Macaca mulatta: one gene and its partner. The protein of the gene in region 1 interacts with the protein of each later gene in a biochemical or structural test. Links are inferred from orthologs where the notes say so. Each region holds a gene or a part of one and is shown on either strand. Other genes may lie near its edges.

Evidence for each region. The genes of interacting proteins can lie anywhere in the genome.
Region 2: the proteins of ARF1 (region 1) and PLD2 form a complex in vitro, tested with the Homo sapiens proteins (2 studies listed by BioGRID). The link is inferred for Macaca mulatta from reciprocal best matches to the Homo sapiens genes ARF1 and PLD2.

What each region holds. Positions count from the first base shown.
Region 1 is NC_133406.1:85,832,927-85,840,207, reverse strand, and holds the start of ARF1 (ADP-ribosylation factor 1), read right to left. Parts: upstream 4,149-7,281; 5' UTR 4,108-4,148; exon of another isoform or gene 4,023-4,107; intron 3,947-4,022; exon of another isoform or gene 3,428-3,946; coding exon of another isoform or gene 3,366-3,427; intron 1-3,365. UniProt on the Homo sapiens protein: Small GTPase involved in protein trafficking between different compartments. Modulates vesicle budding and uncoating within the Golgi complex. In its GTP-bound form, triggers the recruitment of coatomer proteins to the Golgi membrane.
Region 2 is NC_133421.1:6,341,602-6,348,812, forward strand, and holds the start of PLD2 (phospholipase D2), read left to right. Parts: upstream 1-2,426; 5' UTR 2,427-2,668; exon of another isoform or gene 2,669-2,740; intron 2,741-3,032; 5' UTR 3,033-3,033; coding exon 3,034-3,142; intron 3,143-3,243; coding exon 3,244-3,374; intron 3,375-3,534; coding exon 3,535-3,677; intron 3,678-4,359; coding exon 4,360-4,465; intron 4,466-4,556; coding exon 4,557-4,622; intron 4,623-4,753; coding exon 4,754-4,812; intron 4,813-4,951; coding exon 4,952-5,044; intron 5,045-5,137; coding exon 5,138-5,290; intron 5,291-6,070; coding exon 6,071-6,220; intron 6,221-7,211.

The DNA of each region.
Region 1 (7,281 bases):
TAGCCATGCTACCACTGGAAGTCCTTTGGAAATGAATCTTTCTAGCTTGCTGGCATCCCTTCAGGGAGTAAAAACTATTTTAATACATTCTGCCTAGAAGATTTTCAAAACACACTATTTTGAGGACACAGGAAAACCCAAACTCAGTTTCTCACACACTCTTATAACACAGGTCGCTTCTCACACCACATGAGCAGGGGTTTCTCCACACATGCCAAGTAAGCAACCAGTTCTGCGTTCTGCAGCAGACACCGGATAGGTGTCCTTTAATTCAGTTCAATCCTGACACTGTCCACCTGGAGGCAATCACAAGCTCCAGGTTATTTTACCTGTGCTTCTGGACAACCATCTATAAATCAGGGTTCCCATAACTCCTTCCCCTTGGGTTCAATTAATTTGCTAGAGTGGCTCACAGAACTCAGAAAAACACTAAAGTTTACTGGTTTTTCATAAAGGATATTACAAAGGATACAGATGGAGAGATGCATAGGGTGGGGTATGAGGGAAGAGACACGGAGCTACCTTGCCCTCCTGGGCGTGCCACCCTCCAGGAACCTCCATGAATTCAGCTTTCTGGAAGCTCTCTGAAAGCCCAGGCAGGCCTTTTGGGTATTTCCCATCAACAAGGAATTTCATGCTATTTCAGAATTGTACTTAAGTGTGGTTCAGTCTGAACATTCCTTTGTACAAATGTGGAAACACGGGGCTGTAGATGCTGTTAACTACTGAAGGCAAAAGTGTGGCTTCATGATATTAGTGTGATTGATTAAATTATTGGCTACTGGTGACCAGCTCAATCTTCAGTCCCTCTCCACTCTGGGGAAATTGGAGGGTGGGGCTGAAACCCTCTAATCCTACCTTGGCCCCGTGACTAGCCCTACCCTGAAGTTTCGTAGGGGCTGCCCGTCACTGGTCAACTCATTAGGGTACAAAAAGACATCATCACTTTGGAGATTCCAAGTATTTTAGTAGTTGTATGGCAGGAAATGGGAGGCAGGCCAGATATGTATTTTGCAATCCACAACTACAGACTTCTAACTTCCTGAAATGTTCATGGACTGAATCAAGTCTCCCGTTCACTTCATGCTGTACACTAACAGTGAGCCCTGGGCCTCCGGGGTGTGGGAGAACGTCTGCCTTCTAAACAGAATCATTCTCAATTGCTGTGCCTGTGAAAATCTGCCTTTTATGCTTTCCCTGTCTCTTCTCTTGATGTCATTTAGGCTTTTCCTGTTATCAGGGCCTGTAAGAAGCACCACCTTTCCCAGTCTGTTGGCTGACAACCGGCTGCAAGCCCTTGTTACCACTGTGTGAGAACCAGGAAACCAGGATTAGTCAAGGACATTATGGCTAATCAGCCAGCCTTACTGTCTTCTCATCCCTGTAGATGGTTGAGTGACAGGACCCTGGGGGAGGACCTGAGAGCCTCTTGGGAACAAAAAACATCCAGGACATGTCTGTCAAGTTGCTAACAAGGTCATCTGACCCACCTGAGAATGTGAAACTACCTTCCAAGACGGTGCTGGGCACCTGCACAGCTGTAAGGTGATAAGTGCAACTATGCCTTAAAGAGTTTATAACAACCACAGGAAAATACGAACCTGAGGATGAAGGCAAATCCTGGAATCCCAACATGAAGGGGCTAAACCTTTTCCAAAAGACCACTTCAGATGCTACAGGCAGGATACCCCTACCAACCAACCACACCAATGAGGAGCAGGCACAACACAGAAAACACAAGTTCTCATAATTTAAGATCCCCACTGCAAGGCCTTTTCCTGTTTCTCTCCCAATTACCTCTGACAGTGCACTCTACTTCCTTTCACCCTCTTGAGTTTACCGAGGTGAAAGGTCAGGGGGAGAGGACAGAATGCCTATGAGAGACAGTATGGGCCTGCCAGCCCAGGCTGGCTGCAGCCTCTTGCTCAAGAGAATGGTCACAGCTCAGGAAGAAGTGTGTACAAAAGCTTGGTGAGCATGGCCTGTGAGTAAGAGCTGGTTTAAATACACCAATGAGACATTTAATTTGAAGAATCTAGAAAAAACTGCTTCAACTCTCTGAAACCACAGTCATATACTTTGCGTGTGAACTTGCACAACAGGTTTTTTTCTCTTAGTTAGGTCTACTTCTATGATCACTGCAGCAGCTGACAGTCCATATTAAATTTTACTGAAGTGAAAAATGAAAGGCCAAATGCATCTTCGAAGCTATAGTTTCAAGCCTGTCCAGTCTGTAGGGGCAGATGAGCAGGTGAAGATGTCTGAATGTCCTCTCCATATTGTGCAAGAGGTACAGCGCATAGCTAGACTACATGATGTACAAAATCAGAACTGTGAGGGGCACAGAACCAGTTTTTGCTTTTCACTCACAGTCATTCTGTGACTCAGCTGTTGTCCAAACCAACTGTTTCAAATCTTTTTCAACTAGCAAATCTGAAAAACTGCCTGACAGGCAACAGCATATTCCTACTGCTGCAATGATTTGGATTTATTTTCAACAAGATACACCTAAAGACAAGTGACAGATATTCTCCGGTCTACCAACATGTGAAAACGTGGACAACACACCTCTAACAATGTGGCCAATCAGATGTGTATACTAACATTTATACTACTCAATTCTTCTCAATTTTGGACCCAGCTAATAGTACGGCATTTCAGGACCTTATGGTTCTGGCTACCTTGGTAGTGCTGGTGAAAATTCAAATTAAATGAGGACATCATCCATGCAGTCACACGTGTTAGACAATGGCTAACGCAAAAGCAGAGGGCCACAGGGGCCGCACACAACCGCACCTCGGCATCTCACACTCCTCCCAACACACTGCGGAAAACGCCAGAACCACCAGCCTTGCAACAACCGGCGGCAGAGAAAACTGCTGACCACTAGTTCTGAAACAAGAAATACAACTGCCCACTCCAATAGGGGCAGTGGCACCAACTCTACAGCTCTAAACTAGGCGGCGACTTCGGGGACCATCCAAAGACTCCGACCTCCCTTCTTTTTCTGCCCGCGATTCCGAGCGCATTTCTGCTCAATTCCTGCAAAGCAGCAACTGGCTGCCTGGACGGAAAGGGAGTCCGCCAGGAAGTGCCGTCGGAATGGTTATCTAACACTCTAGGTGCGCACGGCTGTACAGACCCAATCTCACAAGCCGTAACCACCCAGGCTGTGCCCCGAGAGAGCGCTGGGGCCGGCCTCTGCGGCCTAGAGTCTACGAGCAGGTCGTTCCGCAGGCAAGTTAAAGATTCACCAGCTCAAAAGAGGCCTTCTTATCTACTGCCGACAACGTCAAGGAAACCACCCTGGAGTTAAAGCGAACATCGACCGGCCCTCTGGAAGCCACCGGAGACTTCATACTGACCCCAAATCGCGTCTCACTGTTGTGAAGGGAGGCACTCTGGGCTTCCCCGGAGGTCCACGCATTCCGTTCAGCAGACAGGGAAAGGCGCAGGGTCCCTGTCCACTGCCCGCCCGCTCGCTCTCACCGCCCCTGACCCAGTGCCTTCCTCAGAAGAAACACGAACTGGATGGAGTCGGGAGGCGAAGGTGCAAGCCCCCACCACCTACGTGACCTTGACGGTGTCTTGGGGCCGCCTGAGCCTCAGTTTCCCGGTCCCCGAGGCAGCGGTCCGCCCGGATGCCGCTCGCTAGCCTGTACTCGGGTGGAGGAGGCCCCACAACCCCCACCGGCCCCCGAGACCGCTAACCCCAACCCTCCACGCGCGGGCGGCCTCGGGAAACGTGAGGGGCAGAGGTGAGGGAAGCAGGAAGCCCAGGTTTCCTGGAGAAGAGCCTGGCGTCCCGGCTGACTTCCGGGCGACGGGCGGGGGCAGGGACTGGCAGAGGAGGACAAGGGGCCGCGGGCGACTCCGGGAACCTGTGAGGGGCGCGAGGAGCTCACCGACCCGCCCGCCCTCCCAGCCCCGACTCCCCAGCCTCAGCCCGGCCCGTCCTCGTCCGCCCCCGGCCCGGCCCTGTCGCCGCCGCCGCCGCCGGGATCGAGGTGCCCTTCGCGAACCTCAAGTCGCCCCGAGGCCAGTCCCCAGACCCCGCCGGCTCCAACTTGTGTGCGGCCCACACCGACCCGCGCCCCTCGCCCTCACCTCAGAAGCTGCTGCTTCGAGCCAGGCGTTGGTTTCGCTCCCACAAGATGGCGGCTCTGACGGCGGCCACGTCAGCGCCTGCGGGCGCGGGGAACGTCGGGTAAGAGGCGGAGACGCCGGGAGCTCCGCCCCCCGTGCGCCCGCGACGCAGGCGCGCTGGCTCCAGAAGGGCTGCAGGGGGCGGGGCCGGGGACACCCAGCCCCGGGCCGAGGTCCTAGCTCGCGCGCGCCTTAGGGGTGCGCACCCGTCTGCGCCTGCGCCTGTGAGTCTTCCGAAAAGACACCTTGTGGCTGCCACACGCCCGTTTGGCAGATTCGGAGACTGAGGCCCGGGGGGCTGCTGCAGCAACTGGAGCGGCGGGGCCGGGTTGCCACCCTCCTCCTCCCCGACCCGGCAGTCACCGCGAGCCCTCGGGGACCGCGTGAGGACTGGGGTGCGAGGCGCCCCTTCGCTGGGATTGGGGTCCCTGGCTCCCAGGCTGCGCGGGTCCGTGTGCCCCGGCCCTGTGGAAACCTGTGGCACTCGCGGGGCCTCGGCGGAAGGTCCGAAGGAGGGAGGCCTGCTATGTCCCCGCACTGGCCTCGGCGCCCCGGCGGCCGCAGTGACTCGCGCGGGCTCATGCCTGGGCTCATGCCGGGGAGTTGGCTACAGATGAAGCAAAGGAGGAGGTGGCCTGGGGACCCCGGGGGGAGGCCGGGGCTGTGGGGGTGGTGCCCAGAAGGGAGGTCACAGCGGTCTCTAATGAGCTGGCCTTTCAGCTGAGATCCAGTTGAGGCGGAGGAGACCCCGCTCCCAGGAAGCCCTCCTGGATTGGTCAGAAGGGAACAGAGGCCTGGCTCTGCCCACCACCCTCAGGTCTTCTTGCCTCTTCCCTTGTGCAGCTGTGAGGGATTGGGCTTGTGGGAGAGCGTCCGTGCAGCACAGTTCTCTGGGTATTCTGGAGGTCGGGAATCAACCTGATTTGTCCAGGGGGAGGCCCGGGGGCAGGGCCTGAGGGGTGGGGTCACTGGGCCTGGCCCAGGCCTCCTGCGCCCCTTTGCTGCCGCCATCACCTACCTTGCTTGCCCCTTGGGCAGGGCATCCTCACTGCCACTGCAGGCTGCGATAGTCGGAGTTCTCCCCCAGGGCTGCACCTGCGGGGGCTTCGAAGGACCCCAGAAGTGGTGACCCTCCTGCCCCCAAATTCAGTCCCTTTTTCTGCCTGGGGCTCCCCTCTGAAATCTCACCTCTGTGAAGCTGCGGCAGGTTGTCTGTTTAGGGGAAGGATGTCTCCCTCCCACCCTACAGGCATCTCAGATACTCTTGGAAAGCCCCAGGGAGGGGTGTGGATGCCTGTGGAGCCTTCTGATTGTGCTGCCTCTCCCGCTCAGCCAGAACTGGACCATGCTCGGACATTTCATGGGGGATACATGTGGTTATGGCCACTTTAGGGCTGAAGGGACCTGGCTTTGGTTCTCTGATGGCAGAGCATGGCCAGGGGTGGCTCCAGTGTCACTGAGTGGGGATTGTGTGGGAACCAGAGCCTGCTTCCCCTTCCTTTAAAATACTCTATTTTTTTTTTTCTTTTTTTGAGATGGAATCTTGCTCTGTCGCCCATACTGGAGTGCAGTGACACAATCTTGGCTCACTGCAATCTCCGCCTCCTGGGTTCAAGCAATTCTGCTGCCTCAGCCTCCCAAGTAGCTGGGATTGCAGGCGCCTGCCCCTACGCCCAACTAATTTTTGTATTTTTAGTGGAGACAGGGTTTCACCATGTTGGCCATGGCTGGTCTCGAACTCCTGATCTCAGGTGATCCACCCGCCTTGGCCTCCCAAAGTGCTGGGATTACAGGTGTGAGCCCCCGTGCCTGGCCCCTTTAAAATATTTTATTTTAAATGTGAAAAAATGCAGACAGGAAAGAGTGTATGTCAGATACATGCACAGTTTAAAAAGTAATAAAATGGATTTCTGTATACACAGCCCTAGGGTTAAGAAATGTACCTTCCCCAGCCTGGGCAACATGATGAGACCCCATCTCTACAAAAATTTTACAAAGATAGCCAGGTATGGTGACACACACCTGTAGTTCCAGCTACTTGGGAGGCTGAGGTGGGAGGATCGCTTGGGCCCAGAAGTTCAAGGTTACAGTGACCTAGGACTCTGCCACTGCACTCCAGCCTGGGTGGCAGAGTGAGACCCTGTCTGCAAATAATAATAATTTTTTAAAAAGTCCCTTTCCGCTGATTCTGTGCTCCTGGTTTGGCCTCCCCACCACCACCAGGACAAAAGTGATGTCTTCAAGCCAGACAGGCGCAGGGGAGCCCAGGTAGTCACACCCAGATTTCTGCCCCTGGAAGGAGACCCACTAGGGAGCTAAGAAGTGTCAGGCAGTGATTTCCTGGGGAAATTGAGGCCCTGGTGCTCTCCCAACACTGCCTAGGGAGTAGGGATCCCTTTCTCTCTACTCTGAGGTCCCTGGGATCAGATGAGGTTTAGCCAAGAGGGGTGGGATGAGCTGGCTAGAGGGAGGGCATTGGGGGCCAGGCTGGACAGGGACCCTCCAGCCTTTGTGGCTGCCTCCGCTGTCAGTCTCAAAGATGCCAGCTCAGGTGGGGCTGGGCTTCTCTCTTCTGGGGGTGGCTGCACCTGAGAACCAGGTCAGAGACACGGATGCCAAACAACGGAACGGGCTGGCCTCCTAGGGAATGCGGCTAGAGGGACAGATGAGCTGTCTGGAGCAAAGAAGCGGGAATACCCATGTTGGAGACCTAGTAGGCAGCCATTGTGGCTAGGTGAAGGGGACCCCAGCCCACCTCAGGCCTGGCAGGCACTTTGGTCAACCTCTGAGTGCAGGACTATGAAGTGTGCGGCATTTGAGCCAGGTCACAGATGTTCAGAGAGGTCTCACATGTACCTGATGTCACCCAGCTAGGATGAAACCCCTCTGAAGCTTGACTACTCCATGCCCAAGTCTGCTTATTGCCAACACCTTTAGTCTTTCCCCAGCCCTGCCCTCCCTCTTGGGGAACAAGCGCTTTGGTGCCTCTGCAGACTGCAATGTTATCTTGGATTCCTCCAGTGATGGGCAGCTCACTACTACACCAGGCATCCCAGGACAGAGTTCTCCTCTCTGGATTTCCTGCCCCACTCTGTCTCCCACATGGTTGCTCTGCCGGCTCTCTCTGTTGGGAGA
Region 2 (7,211 bases), on another chromosome or scaffold:
AGCCACCACGCCCGGCCTTGTTTTTCTTTCAATGAACTTTATTGAAGCAAAAATGTACATACAATTTAATGCACACATCTTAACGTACAGTTCCATGAGTATTAACAAGTGTATGCTCCCATGCAATCACCACTCCTATCAAAATATAGGGCATTCTCATCATCCTGGAATGTTCCCTCACGTGTCCCTTTACAGGCAATCTTTTCCTTACACCCTGCCACAGGCAACTACTGATCTGATTTCCATCACTATAGATTGTTTTTGCCTTAAATTTAGAAGTTTATGACCAGGTGTGGTGGCTCACGCCTGTAATCCCAGCACTTTGGGAGGCCAAGGAGGGTGGATCATCTGAGGTCAGGAGTTCCAGACCAGCCTGGCCAACATTGTGAAACCCCATCTCTACTAAAAATACAAAAATTTAGCTAGGCGTGGTGGCCGGTGGCTGTAATCCCAGCTACTCAAGAGGCTGAGGCAGGAGAATTGCTGGAACCTGGGAGGCGCAGGTTGCAGTGAGCCGAGATCCCGCCATTGCACTCCAGCCTGGGCAACAAGAGCAAAACTCCCTCTCAAAAAAAAAAAAAAAAAAGAAAAGAAAAAATTAGCAAAAGGCCGGGGATGGTGGCTCCCGCCTGTAATCACAGCACTTTGGGAGGCCAAGGAGGGCAGATCACTTGAGGTCTGGAGTTTGAGACCAGCCTGGCCAACATGGTGAAACCTGTCTCTACTAAAAATACAAAAATTAGCAGGAAAGCCCTTGAACCCAGAAGGGGGAGGTTGCAGTGAGCCGAGATCGTGCCACTGCTCTACAGCATGGGCAACAAGAGTGAGACTCTGTCTCAAAAAAAAAAAAATAAATAAATATTAGCAAAAGACTGAATAGGCACTTTATAAAAGAATGCAGGCCGGGCGCGGTGGCTCAAGCCTGTAATCCCAGCACTTTGGGAGGCCGAGACGGGCGGATCACGAGGTCAGGAGATCGAGACCATCCTGGCTAACACGGTGAAACCCCGTCTCTAATAAAAAAATACAAAAAAAAAAAAAAAAAAACTAGCCGGGCGAGGTGGCGGGTGCCTGTAGTCCCAGCTACTTGGGAGGCTGAGGCAGGAGAATGGCGTGAACCCGGGAGGCGGAGCTTGCAGTGAGCCGAGATCTGGCCATTGCACTCCAGCCTGGGAGACACAGCAAGACTCCGTCTCAAAAAAAAAAAAAAAAGAATGCATACAAATGGCCAAATGGCCAATCAGCACATGAAACATGGTCAATATCATTGATCTCCAGATAAATGCAAATCAAATTGCAATGGTGTGCCTATGACATCCATTCAATGGCCAACGCTAAAGATTTAGAATATCAAATGTTGGCTATGCCATAGAATAACTGGAACCACCATACACTGATTTTGGAAATCTAGACTGTAACAACCATTTCAAAAAAAATCGTGTGATAGTTTCTTATAAGTTAAACATACACTTACATGATCCAACAACTCCACTCGCTAGTTACCCAAGATAAAGGAAAACTATCCACACAAAGACAGGGATGTTTACAGGAGCTAAAACAACGGGCAAAACTGGAAACACACATGTCTATCAAAAGAAGAGAAAAATAAATCTGCTTTTTAAAAAAGATTGAAATCTCTTGTATTTTAATACCCGAAAAAATTTTATTTCCCCCCTAGACTGTCAATTCCAGCTGAGCAGGCTCCGTAACCATCTTATTTACTACCATACGCTCAGTGTCTGGCAAGGAGTAAGCGCGCAATACATGTTTGGTGAATGAATGAAAGAATGCCCGCTTTCTTACACTAATGGGTTTGTAGCCACCACCCCTCGGGCCTTTTACGCCCTCATTCCTTCCAGGTACAAACGCTATCTGGGCTAGGTCGAACGTGGCTCGCAGCGAGTCTGGGAGAGGGGCACCCACCGGCAGCTCCCGCAGCGGAGGCGCGTGTCCCCGGGGGCCGAGGCAGCGCCCGCGGCTGGAGGGGCCCGGGGCGGGAGCCGAGCGGAAGGATGCGCGCAGCGCGGGGTGCCCCGGCGGGCGGCGGGCGGCGGGCGGCGGGCGGCGGGCGGCGGGCGGCGGGCGGCGGGCGGGCACGCTGGGACCGACGGCGCGGAAAGCCCCGACGCTTTGCAGCACTTGCCGGTCTCACCGAGAGAGCTGCGCGGCCCCGCGGCCCTGCAGAGCACAGTGCAGCCCCCGGGCTCCCGGTGGTGCGCGGGGCGGCGGGGCGGCGGGGCGGCGGGGCGGCGGGGCGGCGGGGCGGCGGGGCGGCGGGGCGGGCCGAGGGCGGCGGGGGCGGGACAGGACAGACGAGAATCCCGCGGAGGTGAGGCCGGGGGCCGTCCCGCCCCCGAGGGCAGGCCCTGAGCCCCAGCCCCGCCCCGGCCTGCTGGGGCGTGGGCTCCGGCTGCGGCTCCGGCTCCGCTCTGCTCGCTTGGCTCCGGAACCCGCGCGGGCGCTGGCTCCGTCTGCCAGGGTGAGGCGGCCGGGAAGGGGCGCGCTGGGGTCCCCGGTCCCGGGAATCGGGCGGGGACGGAAAGGGCTCGGGCTGCGGAGCCTCCAGACTCAGTCGCACGCTCAGATTTCGGGGTTTCTCCCCTCGGCGGGGATCGCGTAACTTCCTCATTCCTGCCTGGACCCCTGCCCCCGGCCCGCCTGGCCTGGCGTAAGCCCCGTAGCCCCGCGCTCTCCCGACCACCCGGGGCCGCTTCCCCGCGCAGCTGCTGTGGCGCCCCAGGTCGGAGCCTTCCGGGCCTGGCTGGGTGTTCCCCGGGTCTCTGGTTACGGGACGGGGCGGGGGTCGGGGAGCGGGACTGGGACTGGGATTGTGGATGAAGGACTAAGATAGCGGATGGGGGCTCGAAGGGGTCGGTGGGGCGTTGCAAACTGGTCGGTCGTCATCAGCGGGCGGTCAGGAGTCTGTGGGGGAAGAGGAGGACCTGGAAGAGATGGAGGACCTGCAGGAGTTAGGATGGGGGGGCGGGTGCTGCAGGGCAACTCGCCTCCCTGAGGATTCCCTATATTCCTAGGATGATGGCGACCCCTGAGAGCCTCTTCCCCACTGGGGACGAACTGGACTCCAGCCAGCTCCAGATGGAGTCCGATGAGGTGGACACTCTGAGGGAGGGAGAGGACCCAGGTACACAGGGAATATGGATGGCCCTCGGGGAGGAGAGGCGTGGGGAGCCAGGGGGCTGGGGCCTGTGGGGGTCTACACTCCTCGACTTTCTTTCTTCCCAGCCGACCGGATGCACCCGTTTCTGGCCACCTATGAGCTTCAGCCTCTGAAAGTGCACCCCTTGGTGTTCGCACCTGGGGTCCCTGTCACAGCCCAGGTGGTGGGCACCGAAAGATACACCAGCGGATCCAAGGTGGCCAGACTGGCCCCAGGGAGGGGGAAAGGGAGGGCGGCCTGGAATGGATCCAAGGTGGCTGGGCTGGCCCCAGGGAAGAGGGAAAGGGAGAGCTGGCCAGAGTGGGGAGGCGGGGACTCAACACGGGGGTCATCCATTCAGTTCCTCACACCCCTAGGTAGGAACCTGCACTCTGTATTCTGTCCGCTTGACTCACGGCGACTTTACCTGGACAACCAAGAAGAAGTTCCGTCATTTTCAGGAGCTGCATCGGGACCTCCTGAGACACAAAGTCTTGATGAGTCTGCTCCCTCTGGCTCGGTAAGGGGAATCAGACTGAGTCCTGTAGAGGGCAGGTGCCCCCCACCCTCCTTTCTGCCTGTCTCACCCCCAGGCCACAATCTTTCCTCCCTGCAACTCTGGCCACTGGGCCCCTCCCCTGACCCCAGTTACCAGGAAACTTTCCCTGCTCAGCTTTCCCTGTCCATGGTTCTGTGCCAGCATCTCAGCTGGGCGGGATGCCCAAAATACTCTTGGCAGCCTCACCCTTTTCTAGTCTCCATTCCCAGGGTAGGGGGCCTTCCTTTTGCCAGACTCTAGGACTTTTGCTTGGTTTTTGTTTTTGTTTTGGACAAGGTCTCCCTCTGTCACCCAGGCTAGAGTGCACTGGTATGATCTTGGCTCATGTCAACCTCCTGGGCTCAAGCAACCCTCCTACTTCAGCCTCCCGAGTAGCTGGGACCACAGCCACCACACCCAACTAATTTTTGTATATTTTGTAGAGATGGGGTGCTGTTGTGTTGCCCAGGCTGGTCTTAAATTCCTGAGCTCAAGTGATCCACCTGCTGCAGCCTCCCCAAGTGCCGGGATTCCAGGCATGAGCCACCACACCTGGCCACCTCCAGGCCTCTTCTTTTCCTCCAAGCCCCATCTCCAGTGTTTTCAGGAACCAGAGCACCCAGCCTCCCAGCTCTTACCTGAACCTCATCCATCCTTTCCACAGTTTTGCCGTTGCCTATTCTCCAGCCCAAGATGCAGCCAACAGAGAGATGCCCTCTCTACCCCGGGCAGGTCCTGAGGGCTCTACCAGACATGCAGCCAGCAAACAGGTGGGACCAGATGCCAGGTCCTCTGGGAAGGCATTGGATGTGCAAATGACTCTGGTCCCATCTGTCTCTTTCTCTCTCATCTCCACTTTAGAAATACCTGGAGAATTACCTCAACCGCCTCTTGACCATGTCTTTCTATCGCAACTACCATGCCTTGGTAAGGTCCAGGAGCTGATTTTAGATGTGGAGCAGGATCATCAGACCCTCAGGGGGAGGAGGGCCAGGGGCCCCAGGGTCTGAGGAGCTGAAAGCCAGGTATCTCCTCTGGCCTTTTGTTTTCCTCTGCAGACAGAATTCCTGGAAGTCAGTCAGCTGTCCTTTATCCCAGACCTGGGCTGCAAAGGGCTGTGAGTGTCTGGCCCCCTTCACCCAGGCATCTGTAGACATCCCTCTTAATTTCTCCCTGCCTGAGAATGGGGCAAGCAGTGCAGGGTGGGCTGGGGGTCTGGAGTCCTCATCCAGCCTCTCTTCCTGATTGCCCCACAGGGAGGGGACGATCCGGAAGCGCTCAGGTGGCCACCGCGTTCCTGGCCTCACCTGCTGTGGCCGAGACCAAGTTTGTTATCGCTGGTCCAAGAGGTAAGGGCTATGGCCGAGCAGCTGGGCAGTGGGTGGGGGTGAGGAATAAAATTTCGAGGGCAGAGAGGAACACAGGGAGCCCTTCTGCTCTAGGTGGCTGGTGGTGAAGGACTCCTTCCTGCTGTACATGTGCCTCGAGACGGGTGCCATCTCATTTGTTCAGCTCTTTGACCCCGGCTTTGAGGTGCAGGTGGGGAAAAGGAGCACGGAGGCACGGTACGGAGTGCGGATCGACACCTCCCACAGGTGAGGCCTCCCTGGGGTGAGAGACACCGGCTGAGTGGTGAGCCAGCCTGCAGCCCTGCTGGGGGTTGAGTAAGAGAGACCACAGTAGAGAGGAAGGCTGTTCCACCTCCCGGGATCCGGACATAGTTTTGAACCAGGGAACTGGTCTAGCCAGATGCTTGGGACTGCTCTTAGAGACTGGGCCCAGAGAAAGGGGATTAGTAGAAGCCCAGGAAAGGAACTGCTGACATAAAGGAAATTCCATTTGTTCATTTGTTCATTCAACAAACCTGAGTGCCTGGTACAATACTGGTTGCTGATACAATACTAGGCTCCAACTGTGAGTAAGGTGGATACGGCCAGGCATGGTTTCTCATGCCTGTAATCCCAGCACTTCGGGAGGCCGAGGCGGGCGGATCACCTGAGGTCAGGAGTTCGAGATCAGCCTGACCAACATGGTAAAACTCTGTCTCTACTAAAAATGCAAAAATTAGCCAGGCGTGGTGGTGCTGGCCTGTAATCCCAGCTATTTGGGAGCCTGAGGCAGGAGAATCGCTTGAAGCCAGGGTGCAGAGGTTGCAGTAAGCAGAGATCGCACCACTGCATTCCAACCTGGGGGACAAGAGCTAAACTCTGTCTCAAAAATAAATAAACAAATAAGGCAGATACATACACGCCCTGTCTCTGTGGAGTTGTGATTAGGGACCAAGGGAGGAAGTGAGAAAGAAAGGGGAGGTCTCTGGGCAAGATCATATGTATGGAGGGCGAGGATTTATGGTGCATCTCATCGTTCCCATCCAGGTCCTTGATTCTCAAGTGCAGCAGCTACCGGCAGGCACGGTGGTGGGCCCAAGAGATCACTGAGCTGGCACGGGGCCCAGGCAGAGACTTCCTACAGCTGCACCAGCATGACAGCTATGCCCCATCCCGGCCTGGGACCTTGGCCCGGTGGTGAGACACTGACATCCCTTCTGTGGCCTTCTTGACCCCCTGTCTCTGAGTCCTTCACCCTCTCTTTTATCTCCTCTGAACCCTTCTGACCTCAGCGATCCACCCTGTGACTTCCTTAATCTTCTTGATCTTTGATATCTTTAACCACATTGATCTCTCTGATTTCGCTCTGACCTTTCTGACCCTCAGACTTGGTCATCTCTTCTGACCCTTGACGTCTGTAACCTCCTATAACTTTTTAAACCCCCCTCTACCATACTGACCCTCTCTGTTCTCTATGATCTTCTCAAATCTGATTTAGTCCTTCATTTAACAAACATTTTCCTTTTTTTTTTTTTTTTTTTTTTTTTTTGAGAGTTTTGCTCTATTGATCTCAGCTCACCGCGCCCGGCTGTAAACTTCTTTTTTTTTTTTTGAGACGGAGTGTCGCTCTGTCGCCCGGGCTGGAGTGCAGTGGCCAGATCTCAGCTCACTGCAAGCTCCGCCTCCCGGGTTCACGCCATTCTTCTGCCTCAGCCTCCCAAGTAGCTGGGACTACAGGCGCCCGCCATCTCACCCGGCTAGTTTTTTGTATTTTTTAGTAGAGACGGGGTTTCACCATGTTAGCCAGGCTGGTCTCGAGCTCCTGACCTTGTGATCCACCTGCCTTGGCCTCCCAAAGTGCTGGGATTACAGGCGTGAGCCGCCGCGCCCGGCTATAAACTTCTAAAACAGCCAAAACCGATCCACAGCGATGGAAATCAGATCAGCAGTTGCCTGTGGCAGGGTACGGGGCAAAGATTGTCTGGGCAATCAAACGGGACACACGAGGGAACATTCCAGGACGATGAAAATGTCCTATATTTTGATAGGACTGGTGATTGCATGGGAACAGCGTACACTTGCTGATCCTCATGCAACTATACGAGATAAAGAAAATGCAGAACAGTCCAGGCAGAGAAGACAGAAATAGCTCAGGGCGTTTGGGAACCACCAGGACATATTGTTGTTA